2 linked regions of the Diceros bicornis minor genome follow. The protein of the gene in region 2 purifies or fractionates together with the protein of the main gene of each other region. This does not show direct contact. Links are inferred from orthologs where the notes say so. Each region holds a gene or a part of one and is shown on either strand. Other genes may lie near its edges.

Region 1 (8,315 bases), on a different chromosome or scaffold from region 2:
TTTCAGAAATACATAATTTTGATAGCAGGGCATTCCCTGGATTGGAGTGAAGAAGTATTTAAACAAATAATTACCCAAATATTTAAGCTATCCACCTATTCCTTCTAATATACATCATTAGTAAAATGGCTATTTATCCTGCTTATATTATTATTCACAGGGGCACACACATAAATGGCTTTTTCTAAGACTAGGGTGATAGATTAAGTATGACAGTTGAACATGAATAAAGCTCTTGGTTAGTTAATGAAAATTAAACATTACAGACTTTTGCTCCTTTTATTATACATCTCTATCGACAAAGTACCAATTGGGTTTCCAGCAGGAATACCTATCAGTACTACACCTGTACAAGCTGTACTTTTAGGAGAGCTTGTATTTACCACATTTTTGATGAAAAGGAATGTTAAACACATCTGAAATCTATATAAAAAGCTATTCAAGAGAAAGGACAAGTACTTTCCTCTTTAAGTTCTTTTTTTGATAGAAACCTGCACAATGAAAAGAACAGAGAATAAATCATAGTAATTTTGATTGTGATTTCCATCCCAGTATCTTAATTCCCAAGCATGGTAACTGAATGATAGACTTACGGAATTTTTTCAATTTAATCTGTTCTTCATAAATATATTTGCCACTTGTTTTGCTTATTGTTAACACATGAAGAATTGCTAGTCAGCATTTTGTGAGATGGTTTTTTATATTTATCTTTTTTGTGAGGAAGATCAGCCCTGAGCTAACATCCATGCTAATCCTCCTCTTTTTGCTGAGGAAGACCGGCTCTGAGCTAATATCTATTGCCAATCCTCCTTTTTTTTCCCCCAAAGCCACAGTAGATAGCTTTATGTCATAGTTGCACATCCTTCTAGTTGCTGTACGTGGGATGCGGCCTCAGCACGGCTGGAGAAGCGGTGCCTCGGTGTGTGCCCGGGATCCGAACCCCGGGCCACCAGTAGCGGAGCGCTGCGCACTTAACCGCTAAGCCACGGGGCCAGCCCCTGTGAGATGGTTTTTATATTTAAAGAAATGAATTGTGGGTGCTAGTGTGTTCTAAGCCGGTCCTAGTCTGTTGTTGCTCCAGCTTTTATCTAAAATCCCTTTATTTTCTGATTTGTTCATGATAACATTATGTTAAGGATAGGATAAGAGAAACCGTAATATTTTTTCACAAGTATTACATACCAAATTAAATATTTACATAACTTATGAAAATAATTTAAAACAAAAATGGATGACTGCTGGAATATTTTTCTATTTTTTTTATTTTCATCTATTTATATTACACAGTGCTATGTAATAAAATGCTCATATATAGTCATATTGGCATCTGCTTTCATGGAAGAATTTCTATTATTCTTACCATCATTGCTGCACATTTACAGAATTTGAAAGCTTGAAGTGTCCTCAAAGATCATCTCATCAGGATTAAAAAACTGAGGCCCAAAAAGGTTAAGTGTCTTATCCTAGACCACCAATTTAGTGGCTGGACCACAATTAGGGCTGACTCTCCTAACACGTGGTGCCACGCCCTTCCCCCCATACAGACACCAGTATCTTCCCGGTCAAACATGGTAGTCACCTATGTGGATGGCACATTCTGGAGTTAGGCAGTGCACAATCCAGCAGCTTTGCCCGTTCTCTCCAGGGTTTTTAGTTTGGAGCAGGCAACACTATGAAATGATGACTGCAACATGGATAAAGGTAAGTAACATAGGGTAGGTATAAATATCATATAATGAATTGGCTCCACAGCATATCTTACAAGTTTATGTTATGCATGTAGGTGAACGTACAAGGTTCAGGGGAAATGCTTATGTTTAGAGCACAGGAGGAATCAGTATCTTACTTAATCTTTATAATGACCTTAGAAGTTATTATTATTCCTATCTTACAAGTGAGGAAACGGAGACACAGAGAGGTTAAGAAACTTGCAAATATCACACAGCTACCAAGAGGCAGGACCTGGACTCACAATCTAACACCCACACCCTTGACCACTATGACAATGTATCTCAACCTTTTGTGATTTGCACCCCTCCTTATTGAACTCCATTAGGAATTTTCTTAAATTGTATCACCATTTGTGCATGGCATATGATTACGCAATTATAAATTATTTGTTTACTACTATGATGGTTAGTTTTATGTCAATTTGGCGAGGCTATACTACCCAGTTATTCAACCAAACACTAATCTAGGTGTTGCTGTGAGGGTATTTTGTAGACGTGACTTTAAGTAAGGGAGATTATCCTCAGTAATCTGGGTGGGCCTCATCCAATCAGTGGAAAGGCCTTAAAACCAAAACTGAGGTTTCCCTCAGGAAGAAGAAATTCTGTCTGTGGACTGCAGTGTCAGCTCCTGCCCAAGGGATTCTAGCCTGCTGCTGACCTGCCCTACGTATTTCAGACCTGCCTAGCCAGACCCCACTATTATATAGACAAATTCCTCAAAATCGCCGTGTAGATGTATCCTACTGGTTGTTTGTCTGGTAGAACCTTGACTGATACAACTCAACTGTTATTTAAGATTATATTAAAGAGTTCATTTAAACATAATTGTTAATATTACTTACACATATAATTTTAAATCTTCTTTCCATTTAATAAATGATTCCTGCTGTTTAATTTACCTTAAAAGGACATTATAAGAAAAAGTATGATTTTTTGCCACAAATTATTTCATGCTTGGTTTGGGGATCAAATAATAACATGTAAATAAATTTAATGATGTCTTACTGCATCAAAAGTGGACAAAATTGCAGTCATGCCCTAATGGTTGAAATTTTACTTTTTAGAAAAAAAAATTGCCTTGTTTTTATAATTTTCCAGTTTTGTTTGTAAATGATGAAAGTCTCAGGCTGCTCTTTGCAAGCAGCTCTTTCTATGTGACACGCTGAGGAAGGCCCCAACTTCTGATCTTAAAACTGAAAATCCCACATTCTGGGAAACCACTCAGCCTTGGTCATGTTATCAGGGCAAGTGAAACTCAAACTACATTGTAGGTTTGATATGAGATTCCTGGTGATATTAAGCACCTGCACCTGCCAAAATGGTAGCCACTAGCCACGTGTGGCCACTGAGCACTTGAAATGTCGCTAGTGCTACCGAAGAACTGAATTTTAACCTCTAATTTTAATTAAATTTTAAATTTAAAAATTGATACTTGATTCGTTTTTGGAAAAATTTTAAGTATGTTTGAAATAACTTGAATATATGAATCTACTTTTTCAATTGTAAATTTTAATGAAATCTAAACACAGATCAGGTGCTTCCAAAAAAAAATTTAGCATCCAAATGGAAACTTACACTGAGGACAAAATACACATCATATTTTGAACTTAGTATATCCTTTGGAAAAAAGGAAGGTAAAATATCTCAATAATTTTATCCTGATATTTTAAAGGTACTGCATTCAATAAAATACATAATGAATATAAATTTCAACAGTTTCTTCATACTTTTTTAAAAAGTGGCTACTATAAAATTTAAAATTACCTATGTGGCCCACGTTTTACTTCCAGTGGACAGTGATGACCTACACAGCCTGGCAAATAGTAAAAGCCCCCAAAATGGTGGCTATTATTTGCATGACAGGAATGAGAATGTTCCTTTGTGAAGATCAGCACTGCTTAACATCTAACGTCGGGAATTACTCATCCTGATTATACCGTATCGTACCTGTTTTTCTAAGCCCCGCAAGTCCTTTTGGCAACACTGAGGGCTAGAAAAATAAGAGTTCTGATAAAGGAATGGAGGTAGCAGGTGGATTGTGAGATAAGGTTTTAGACCAAGCCCAGAAAGTGAAAACTGTCCCGAGTTTCTAGACTGGCCACATCGATGCCCCATGGCACATCCCAAGACCTGAGCCTGACCTCGCTGCCCAAACCTGTGGCCTCTCCCGTAAGCTTTTCCATTTCTTCCCAAAGGAGAAGCGCCTGAGGTCCGCGAGCCCCAAAGGCGGCCCGGAGAAGACCCTCGCGGGGGCGGGCGCGCCGCGGGGCAGCCCCAGGCCGTAGCGGCGCGGCGGCCGCAGGGCAGGGGCAGCGGCGGCTGGACGGTGACGCGCACGGGAGGGCAGCAGCCCGACTCCGATGCCGAGGCGCCCAGCGCACGGCGGGCAGAGAGCCGGCCGGCTGCAGACGCAAGCTCCACGCCCCTTCCGAATCCCCGAGCGGGGTGATGACGAACACAGCGCGCGACGGACGCACACGCCGCCCCGCGCTCGCACGGCGGTGCGTGCAGGGAGCGCGAGGGAGCCCCGGGCCGTCACCGGCGTCGCGACCAGCGATCCGCCTCCTCCGCTCCTTGCGTTCCCGCCACCTCGGCGATTCGGCGCCCGCCTCCCGCCTCCGTCCGAGGCCTCCGCCGCAGCGACGCTCCTGGCCTCGCTCCTGTCTCTTTAAATGGTGGGGCCAACGGGCCGCCCCTGCAGCTGCTGCCTGGGTGGCCCCGCGCGCCGTTATTGAGGGCGAACCAAGATGGCGGCGGCTTTGGCTGTGTGAGGAAGACGGAAGAGGTGGCGGCAGCGCCGAGGGGAAAGGGACTTCCAGGAGGTCGGAGCTCTCGGGCGCCGGGGGCTCTCGGAGTCTCCCGCGCAGTGGTGGCAGCTACAGCGGGGACAGGCGCTCGTCGGCCTCGGACATTTGAAGCGGCGGAGCGAAGCGGAGCCGCCGGCAGCGGCGGCAGGGCCGGGTAGAGGGAAGGAAAACATGGCGGCGGCGGCCTGAGGAGGCGGCGGCGGCCTGAGGAGGCGGCGGCGGCGGCGCGGGAAGCGGCTTCGCGGCGATCATGGCGGAGGCGGGAGCAGGGCAGTGACCGGCGCCCCGAGTTCCTCCCGCGGCGGGGCGGGCGGCTGCGGAGCCTTACGCTCCCCCGTCGGGGCGGCCGGGCTCGCCGGGCCCGCACAATAGCGCCGAGGAGCGGAGGCGAGGAGAGGCGGCGGCCCGGAGCGCGGGCCCCGGAGCGGGCCATGCGGGCGGCAGCGCGGCCCCGCGGCGGCCAGCGGCGGCAGTGAGGCCGGGGCGCCCTCCGCTTGCAGGCGTCCTCCCGCCGCGGCGCCCGCCTGTCCCGGACTCCCTTCCCGGGCGAGTCGGCGGGGCCTCTGGCCTGGCCCCCCGGGCGGCACGATGACCGACACCCGGCGGCGAGTGAAGGTGTACACGCTCAACGAGGACCGACAGTGGGACGACAGGGGCACCGGGCATGTGTCGTCCGGCTACGTGGAGCGGCTGAAGGGCATGTCCCTGCTTGTCAGGGCCGAGAGCGACGGTAAGTGGGACCCTCGCCTCCCCCGCGGTCATGGGCCACCTCCCTCGTTCTTGGGGGACCTCTCCCTACGAGAACCGAGGGGGCGGCTGCCGCCTCGGGGGAGGGCGCGCCACCGGTCCCCCAGCCCTCCCGGAGCTACACGAGAGCCCTGGAAAGATTTCCTGTCTCCGAGCGCCTGGGGAACACTCGGGCTGCGAGCGGAGCCGGGCATGTTTGAGCGGTGCCTCCTGGGAGCGTGGAGAGGTCGGGGACCTGGGACCGGGACTGTTCTTTTGCACTCGAGTGACCTTGAGAAAGGCACTGATTAATGCGATCTTTTGCCTTAGTTCACCCATCTGGAAAGCAGGCACGAAACTTTTCTCGGAGCTAAGCAAGTTCCTGGCTGTTTCACTCTTTGGAGAACATTTTGGTGTGCTTTTTCTTCTTTCTTTAAAAACATGTTTTTGCTACATCTTTCTGATCCTCTTTGCAGGTTGGCAACACTGGTTCACGGATCTGGCAAGTCTACACTCGGCAGAGAACTTGCTGCTTTGCCGTGAGAAGATAGATTTGTGTTCCCCGGTGTTAGCTGCCTTTTTCATTAGTAACGCAGAATTTTGTTTGTAGTTTCGCTGTGTAAAAGTCTTCTAAGTTTGGAATCATTGTATGCGAGCTGTTTTGATTGCTTGAATGTATATTCATAATTTGGTTCAGTTAACAGGTAGGGACGCTTCATGTATTTTGAAAGAGCCCTCAAGGTTCAAAGATCAAGTTGTTTGAAAATAAGTGTTTCCCTGTTTTTAAAGATTTACGGGATTGCCACTTCCCTCAGTGGCATATACCCTGGATTTCACTTAAAGAAAATGTTTATGTCGGGTAAAACTATTTTCACATTGTCTCTACTGTGAATTTCACTTACAGAAAATGTTCACATCAGGTAAAACTATTTTCAGATTGTTTTTTCTGAATTTGAAAACTTGTTACATTAGTCTATAATTTTATAGCAGTTATTTCAGTTTATTATGCTAGTAGTTTTGTGTCTGAATTGTTACAAATTCATTTCAATGAATTTTAATTGGACTTTATGCAGAACTCCAATTCCATAACAAACAAGATTCACTCTTCTGTAATTGAAGACTCTAGGAACATGGATTTTTAGTTTGAGTCGAAAAGTGGTAATTTGGAGTATATTGCCCACAGGTTACCTCTGTAAGGCCTCCCCATATAACTTAAACCTGGAGAAATATTATTTCCTTTTGGAGGCATTTAAAGGGTCTGAATACATTGGGTATATTTTTCTGAGGCCTATTATCTGACTCGTAAAAGACAAGTTTGAATGTCAGGTGTTAGTGACATACAAAAAAGCACACTATCGAATAGTAACCAACTAACCTCTACATCTTTGGATGTTTGGGAAACTTTTTACATAGTGAGTTGGAAGGTGTGGGCTTTGTAGGTTCATTTAACTTCTTTTGAAATGAAAACATGTAGATTTGAGATCAATTATTTGAAGTCTCGTAATTTAAAATAACACATAAACTTTCACATCATGTGTTCAATTGGACTTACTATACAAAGTCCTTTATTAAAGGATTTTTATGCATTAAGTCTTAGTGTCATACTATCACAGGGAATCATGCTCTACTAACATAGTAATAGGGGAAGTTTTTTTCCAATTTTTATTTTTACCACTTTGGAAATAGCCGCAATGGCTAAAACAAAATGGCTTTAATTTTATCTAATGGGGAAAGAGCTGGAATAAATTAACTGATGGGCCCTTGTTAAATTTAAGTTGTAAGGAAAACTAAATCCAAAGAGTGGGCTTAGAAAATTCCAGGATACTTGTGAGATATTGTTGGAAATAATCTTTAGTTTGATGATTAACGTTTTTTTCTAACAGGAAAACTCCAAATAGGAATAACAGTCTAATAGTTATTGAGTGCTTACCATGTGCCAGAGACTCTTTACTTCTGTCCGGTTGGTGTAGGCACTATTATTAGCCATATATTGCGATTGGGGAAACTGAGGCTCAGAGAGGCTAAGTAACTTAAGATCACACAGCTAGGTTAAGAAGCAAGGTCATTGTTCAAGCTGGGGTGGGGGAAGGGTGCCTGGGTTTGAGTGAGGCATCTAGCCTGTGGCTTGAAATTAGTATCAGTTATTTAATTATTATCATTAAGTGTTTACAGTGTGTTTTAAATTCCCAAATTGCTGTTTATTTGCATTTGCTGCTTTATATTTAGACTCAAAGTTTATCTCAAAGAAAATGAAAACGATTTTTAGCCTAAAGATATTTAAAAGTATAGTTGATCTCTAAGCCACACACTGGAGTTTTTATATTGACTGCCACTTTGGGTTATCCATTATTGTGTGCCTCCTCCATTCTCCGTTATAGGATAATTGAGAATTTTCTTTTTACTGTGATGAGCAAAATGGAAAATATTTTTGATTTTCCATAAAATGAGTCATTTATCTTATTAGAGGAGCTTACACACTTATCTTAAAATCAGGAAGGCAGTTTCTGAATGGAAGTACTTGTGGCCTCCGTGTTACAGAACACATCTGTCTGGGTAAGTATGCCCTTCCCCCCTGAAGCTGAGGCCTGGCAAATCTGTAGCCCACCTTGCCTTGGAAGAGAGAGATGTCCCACCAAGCTACTGAGCCCATTTTCTGGATTGCATCCTTATTCAATAGGTTCCTACTGGCAAAATATGTTGTAGGAACATACCCTTTTCTTTAATGAAAATAAAGTTGTGTGTTCCAAGTCCCTCCTGATTTTGTGAGATTTTTCAGATTTTCTCTCTCAGATTTTATTGTAGCCATGTACCTGCAAATTGCCATCTTCCAATAAAGATTACTTGGTATTATTTTTTCTCCTTGCAGCTTATGCTGTACCTGTTAACTTGCTGAAGTTAGGATAATAGTGTCATCCCTTACATGCTCTCTCACTTTATGTTCAAGTCATTCTAATTCTTTTTTCCGTTATGGGTTTTACCACCTCCACCTGCCAATTTTAGAACTGATAAAGTCAAGAAATTGGAATTTCTCCACACTCTGAAGACTGTATTT
Region 2 (7,722 bases):
GGGAGGGCAGCTGGTCAAGAGCCCCTCCATAGGAAAAATAACCTTGCCCCAAACCTTTCGCTGCGCCAAACAAGTGACCTGTCCTTTTCCACTTATCTCCCTGGTACTACAGACTTACACATGACAACGCAAAGCATTTCTAATCCCATCATCTACTCCTCAGTTGCCTTTGAATGTTTCCCATAAATCTGAAGAAAATACCACTTCCTATCTAGCCTCAATATTAAAAAATCATAATAAAATCATAAAGCTCTAAATGTCCAACAAGAAACTGAGAGAGAAACATGGGATGTTATTTTCAGGCCTCCATGTTCATTCCCTTTGGGTCAATCCACCCTAAGGCCTTTACCTGTCTTTTCGGCTACTTAGGCCAGCCTGATCACTGCCCTCCTCCTCAGCGTCCCTCTGGTCATCCTTGCTCTCTTCCCAGTCCTTGTAGGAAGAGATTCTGGACTTCTTCTTGTCCTCCCCATCATCCTTCTCCTCTCGCTCCCTTCGTTTCAAGGAAGCCAATAAGTCCAGTCCCAGCAATGAAGGGCGAGGAGCAGGGGCCTTGAAGACATGTTGCTCACTGGCTGCACTTTTGGTCTTGCAAATAAGACCGCCAACCTGAGAGTCCAGATCAGTGCCTTCCAATCGATGGATCGAGGCATCCTCACTGGTGTCCTCCATGACAGGCTCTGAGATTTCTCTGGAAGGAAGACAAATCACTTGGTATTAGACATAAGTGGAGAGAAAGTTTGGCTCGGCTATATCCAAGGATAATTGTAGTTATAGGTATATTTAGGGAGTTAACCTCCATCTCAAGGCCAGGATTACTTTAGCTATCTCTTGCCAAGACCTTGCCATCAAGTCATTGACAATCTCAAAAGATCCTCTTACCACCACCCCAAGACACATCAGAAATAGATACACACACACACAGCCCACACACGCAAGCCAAACACCAGGATCCAAGAGGATATCATCCAGGCAAGAACAGACCTCACTAAGGGACACTTACTAAAGCCTGGTGGCATCTATAAAGGGAGTATAGGGGAAATACCAAAAGATTTGTAGTCAGAAACCATAATTAGAATCCAGGCTCTTGACATTTTCTACCTGTATGATTGTAAAAATAACTTAATCTGTGGTTAGGCATAATTTCTATATCTGTAAAATGGAAATAATTTTTGCTTTATCTAATCCATGAAGTTGTTGTGAGAATCAAACAAGGAAGTGCATCTGAATGCTCTCTGTAACCATAAAAACTACACAAACGGAACTGTTACATTATTTGCTGTGCTCCTATATACCGAATGAGTCTCTTATCATTTTTTTACATGAGTTCTTCTACTTGTCCCTCCCTTTAAACTACAGATACAGCAAAGTAGAGATAGTGGGGTACAAGGCTACTATCCATGTGATCCATACATTAGTTGTGTTTTGTAGAAAAGAAAAACCTCACAGCAGTCAAAATCTGTTTAATAACAATCCATGTTCACCACAAATACTGATGAGAAGCACTAGGCTGGGAAACAATGTTTCTAAAAAGTATCAAGGTGACTGCAAGATTTCCTCGCATTCAACTTGTACCAAATTCCTCTTTACCTCCCGCTACACACCATCCGTTTATAAACATACTCAATTCTGAGTGCTTGGATAATTCTCCTCATTCCAACAAGTCAGTGAAGCAAAGGAACTGTCAAGGGGTAGGGTACCACCAGAATCCAGAAGGTGTTGCCCAGCTCTAATTAACATGCACAGCTCTATAGAAGAATATTGCCAAACAGACCAGACTCATAACATGGACAGAAACAAGAGATGAATTTTGAAAAATGCCATCAGGCAGAATAGAAAAGGAAGCTGCATATTGGTAACATCTGTCCGCATGTGAGGATATCTAAATAGGAAGGTAAGATATACAGACTCTGCTCACCAGTAGTCTGAACTAGAAAATATATCCCTAGAACGTCATTCTATGCAGGAGAGAGAACCTTGTCTTGTTGACTGCTATGCCCAGTACCTAGCAAAATAAAAGTCTGATGAATAAATGAATAAATGAGTTTAAACTGATTATAAGAGATGAGAGGCCAAACATTTCTACAGACAGCAAGGGAAGATACCAGCAGCACAGGACAAGGAGTCTGACAGACTTAACTCGCTGCTGAGCAGAACAAATAAGGAGTTAAGGGCTAGATTCCGGAGAAGGATTAATGGCAAAGAAGCCACAAGGGATAGGAGAAAAACGATGAAGAAAGAAACTGGATTTACTCATCCAACAATTATTCATTGAGTGCGTTCTGTGAGTCAATCGCTGTTCTGGGCAATAGGATGGAGCAGAGAACAGACAGACAAATGCCCCGCCCTCTTGGAGTTGATATTCTCGTAGAAGACATGGCCTGGTAGAGATACACTGTGACGGAAGAGGAAGACACAAGGAGCCCTACTTGGGCTCGGCGTCCGTCTGGGAGGGAGCTAATGCCGAGACCTGAGGAAGGGTGGACCCCGGGCAGCATCCCTGGACCCCAGTGAGGCCGCCCCAGGCAGCAGGATCTGACCAGAGCAAGGAGAAAGGCCGGGGCACGACGGACTGGCGCAGCATCCTTAGGGTGAGTGAGGCAAGTTGGGTGACAGGGACAAGACTTGCCAAACCCAGGCCAGAACCTGAGCGAGGGACTGATATCCGCCGCCTGGAGCCGCCATGATTGGCGAAGGGCACGTCAGGAAGGAAGAAGGGACACTCACCTCACCAAGCCCGACTCTCGGGACCTTCTGTCCCGGATTCTGGGGCGCCGGTGCCGCCACTCCTGGCTCAGACCGCCTTAAAGAGCCAAAACCTCAACCTCGAAAGCCGCCATTATTGTCCCATGAAACGCTGCGCGGTCCCCTCTATCTGTCCAAGGGTACCATCGAGAGCAGCCCGGAAAACGCCAGTTCCGGGCTCCCTGTGTGGGACACAACGCGACCACGCTCTCAAGGCTAGAGTGCCCTCCTGTGGGGCTCTGATCAGAGACACTTCCGAGTCTCCTTGCGACCAATCACGCTTAGTCTAAGAGGCGAAGGCCCGCCTCTAGTCGGAGAAGGGGGAAGGAGAGGCAGAGAGGTCGGTCATGTTTAATAAGGGCGGAAGTGACTCTAAGGCTTCCGGTTAGAGCCGGGGGAGGAGGCGGTGACTAGAACAGTCTGTTCTTGTTGTTGAGCGCTTGAGTGGGGACTGTTTCGCGTCCGTCTACTGCGGCTGTGCGTTTTCTCTTTCCGTTTCCGTCCCCTCAAGTGGGCCGCTGAGGGTTGCTAGGCATCAGCCCCTGGGGGTACTTTGGAGTAGGGTCGCTGCGGCGGTTGGGACGGAAGAAAGGAGCCGCCCGCGTCCCGGCTTTTTGGAGAAGGGTCGGAGGTGCCGACAGCCCTGAAGTGGAAAAGAGGGAAGTGACTTGTACAAGTAAAGTGAGTATCATCTTCCCTGGCAGTTGTGGGCCAGGAATAGCCTAATCACAGGCATCGTTAAAAACATATACGTCGGGTATTTTGGAGAAGTAAAGACGCGCACCCCAATGTAAATAAAAATCACTCGTCTGTTCACACGCAGAGATTACCACTGATGGTGTGTTGGGATATTCATTTCCAGTTATTTTTCTATGTTAACATGTACAGATGCGTTATAGTTAGGTTTTGTACAAAAGGGGATCTTCATATACTATTTTATAACATTTTTCTTCATGGAGAACTTCAGTATCTGCAGTGTTCATCTCTAACACAATATTTAACGACTCTATAATAGTACATGGCAGGACTGCACTGTCATTTATTTTACCAGTCCCCTATTGATGGCCATTTAGGTTGTTTCCGGTTTTTCACCGTTATAAATGTGATGGATGTCCTTTATTTAAATCTTTGTGCACACGTCTGATTACTTACTAAGAAGGAATTCTCAGAAATGGCATTGTTAGCCAAAGAGTATTTCAGTTTTCTTTCTAGAGAAGTTTTGCTCCTCTACATTCCAGCAGAGACTATGAATGCCTGCCCCTTCACTCACACTCCTGCCATCATTGTTTAATCTTTGCCAATTTAATGGCTTTTTTAAATATATCATTTAACTTGCTTTCCTTTGCTTAGTAGTAAATCTTAACTTTCCAAATATATTTGTCCATTTGTACCTCTTCTTTTGTGAATTCGCTGTTGTTATCCTTCGCTATGGACATTTTCTTAGGTATGGTCTCAGTTTCTCTCTCCTCTTTCCAACATTTATCCAGTCCCACCCCACACCTCTCCAACCCCCAGGTTCCCCTCCTATTGAAGCTTTGTCCTCCCCTCACTTCCTCCTCTTCATCAGTAACATAGGGGAGTTGCTGTTAGTTTGAATTCTAGTGGTGGGACAGAGCCATCTTTTCTTCGACTTTCCCTCTCATCAGTAATTTATTCTGCCACTCACATTTGATGAAGTCCCATCTGGCAATCAACTTCCCTTTGTAAAGTATGACCTGTTACTGGAACTATTTCATTTCCTATGTGAATTTTTATTAATTCATATCTTAAAATGTGACTTGTCACAAAAAAAAATACAGAAAGAAATCCTCCCTTTTATTAGCTTTAGCCAACTTTGGAAATGAATTCAAAATATCAAGTATCTCGATGGAGTCTCTCATGGATGGACTCAAAAATAAAGCTCCTTGATCAAAGAGTTTCTCAGTCATAAAAATAGGAGCTTATTGTAGTAGAAAGAATGCTGAAGTAGAAATCTGGTGGCCTGGATTCTAGTCCTAGTTCTTTAGCTAAGAGTGTAACTATAAACAAACAAGTATGTAAATTGAGGGAGTTAGATTAGGCCCCTTCTATCTCAGTATTTTACGATTTGTTTATTTTTATGTGGTTTTCACACACACTTAATCGGTGTTTGCCATGTGGTAAGATAGGTGCACCTAGTAAGATATGCACCAAGAATCTTTAAGCCAGGACTCATGGTAATACAAATGTTCGTCAGTAAAGGACTGTTTGAAAAGTATGGTCCATACATGAGATAGAATGCTGCTGTGACAAAGAATGTGAAGTTTTCTGTGTAGCGATAGGGGAAGATCTTCTTATGTTAGGTAAAAAGGTGTAAAGCGCAGAGGAGTGGGTAAATTGTATGTGCAGGACATCTGTCGTTTGCTCCTCCAGATCCACTCTTCCTCCTTCTCTAGACTGCTGTGGGACAGGAGGCTTGCCTGCTTCTGCAGCTCCCCTGCCCTCTGATTCCAGAGGGAGGCAGCCAGTGGGAGCATTAGCAGATCAGAGGGAGGGAGGAGAGTGGCTGCGTCCTTTAACTGCAGGCTGGCCTCCTCTACAGCGGCCTTCTCCATTCAGCAGTCCTCCCACACAGTTCTGCTAACTCCTCCCTCCCGTGGCTCCCTCAGGCCTCATGTGGGAACAGCGCCCTACTGTGACTAGCCCCAGAGTACAGCACTGTACCTGTTGTTTCCTACACCCTGCCTTAATGAAAGTCTCTTCAAATTACCAAATTTGAGGATGTCATCTCTCTCCTGCTGGAAAACTGACTGATACAATAGGCTATCTTTTGGGTAAAAAAGGGAGAAACCATAGGAATGCATATTTGTCTTTTCTTGTGAATGCATAACAAAACTCTGGAAGATACATGAGAAACTAATGAAAGTAGTTACCTGGTGTCGGGGGGAATGGGGCACTGAGAACTGGGCCGGAGGAAGGGATTTTTTCACAGTAGGTCTTTCTATATTGTTTCTTTTTAAACCATCTGAATATATTACCTATTCCAAAGCTTTTTAATTTGTTTAACTAGGACTCATGCACTAAGTCTAACTGTCTTTAAACATTACGACTTGATTTTAGGACTAACAGTGAGGATTAATATTTGGATTATTTCAAGATGAGCTTCCTGTTGCCCAAGCTGACTAGCAAAAAAGAAGTAGACCAGGTGATAAAAAGTACTGCAGAGAAGGTGCTGGTCCTCAGGTTTGGGAGAGACGAGGATCCTGTCTGTCTGCAGCTAGATGATATTGTAAGTGAATTTTTACAAGAAATGGTTTTCATTAAAAATCTATACATTCTCACTTCAACATCTGCAAAGTGCATGAAAGGGAGCAGGCAGGGCCCAGGGATGTAGCCCTTCATTCATTAGCACACTTTAAGAGTTGATCGTGTGTCTGCCCTGAGCTGCACCCCTAAACTGGGATTGTGCTGAGCCTGTCCTGGATGTGCTTCCCCACTAACAGCAGTCGAAGCTCAGCATCACCAACAAGGCAGCGAAGAGCAGAAAACGTTAATAACAAGCATCTGTGAACATCATCTTATTGCTCACAACAGTTAGATAATTACTATTACTGTTCCCAGAGGAGCAGGTGAATGCCGGGGAGATCAGTGACTTCCCACAGGCACAGAACCACTACATGGCAGAGCTGGGATTTGAGCTTCGCTTCCTCTGCCTGCAAATATGCTTTTCTAGTGTGCTGCCTCCAGTGTATGCCTGATGATAATCTGTGTTTTCACAGCACATCTTCACACTCTGATGAGTTGGTGGGGAGTATGGGACAGAGTAGGTTTATTCTTGTCTCTGTTTATTATGGAGAGAGACTTACCCTGGACTAAGACCTCTTCCACCATTTTTATTACTGACACCCACTATGTGGATCAATTTTAAGAATCCTCATTACTGTGATTGAAAATGAGTGTGTGATGCGTTACCTGGGGGGAAGGGCCAGAGGATTACACCCTCAGCTGTAGCAGAGAGGGACTATCACTAGGGGTCAAAGGTATAAACTCTGAAGCTGCCTGAGTTCAAATCCCAGCCTTAATACTAACTAGCTGTGTGACAAGGGGCAGATTACCTCCCTGTGCCTCGGTCTCCTCACCTGTGACATGGGAACTGTAATAGTGTATACCTCATAGAAATGTTGTAAGGGCCGGCCCCGTGACTTAACGGTTAAGTGCGCGCGCTCCGCTGCTGGCGGCCCGGGTTCGGATCCCAGGCACCCACCGACGCACCGCTTCTCCGGCCATGCTGAGGCCGCGTCCCACATACAGCAACTAGAAGGATGTGCAGCTATGACCTACAACAATCTACTGGGGCTTTGGAGGGGAAAAATAAATAAATAAAATATTTAAAAAAAAAAAAAAAGAAATGTTGTAAGGATTAAAGGAGTTAACAAGTGTAAAGCACTTAGGACAGTTAGCACATCTTAAGTGCCATGTAGGTGTTTGCTATTATAATTATCATTTATGGGGGGGTTGGAAGGAAAGAGACTTGGGGGAATTTCAGTGTCTAGTACATACTTCTGAATTGTTTTGTGTTTTTGTTTAAGTGAGCATGGATTTGATAAATCCATAAAAAGTTTATAAAAACTTTACAGTCAGGGCCAGCCCCAGGGGCCTAGTTCGGCGTGCTCTGCTCCAGCAGCCTGGGTTCCCTTCCCGGGCGTGGACCTACACCACTCTGTTAGCAGCCGTGTTGTTTTGCTGGCCCACATACTAAAAAATAGAGGATGATTGGCATGGATATTAGCTCAGGGTGAATCTTCCTCAGCAAAAAAAAAAAAACCTTTATAGTCAAAAATAGAAAAAAAAAATGAAGAAATATGTTCACACGATTTACCCAGGGCCTTCTCATAACCCTCCCAACAGTGATTCAGACTCTGAATGATAAGGTTACACTGTGTCTAATGTGGAATTCAAGCAGGCTAGATTCTGGGCCTAGGAATTTATTTATTTATTTATTTGTTTGTTTGTTTGTTT

Evidence for each region.
Region 1: the proteins of DHX38 (region 2) and PPP4R3A purify together in Homo sapiens (co-immunoprecipitation; 3 studies listed by BioGRID and IntAct, with this or other methods). This does not show direct contact. The link is inferred for Diceros bicornis minor from reciprocal best matches to the Homo sapiens genes DHX38 and PPP4R3A.

The regions. Positions count from the first base shown.
Region 1 is NC_080763.1:37,456,704-37,465,018, reverse strand, and holds the start of PPP4R3A (serine/threonine-protein phosphatase 4 regulatory subunit 3A), read left to right. Parts: upstream 1-4,606; 5' UTR 4,607-4,865; coding exon of another isoform or gene 4,866-4,970; 5' UTR 4,971-5,125; coding exon 5,126-5,267; intron 5,268-8,315. Other genes in the region: uncharacterized protein LOC131421176, read right to left, coding at 3,886-4,606, 4,866-4,970. UniProt on the Homo sapiens protein: Regulatory subunit of serine/threonine-protein phosphatase 4. May regulate the activity of PPP4C at centrosomal microtubule organizing centers.
Region 2 is NC_080771.1:23,320,630-23,328,351, forward strand, and holds the start of DHX38 (pre-mRNA-splicing factor ATP-dependent RNA helicase PRP16), read right to left. Parts: upstream 3,001-7,722; 5' UTR 2,728-3,000; intron 2,592-2,727; exon of another isoform or gene 2,436-2,591; intron 692-2,435; 5' UTR 673-691; coding exon 350-672; intron 1-349. Other genes in the region: TXNL4B (thioredoxin-like protein 4B), read left to right, coding at 5,861-5,992. UniProt on the Homo sapiens protein: Probable ATP-binding RNA helicase. Involved in pre-mRNA splicing as component of the spliceosome.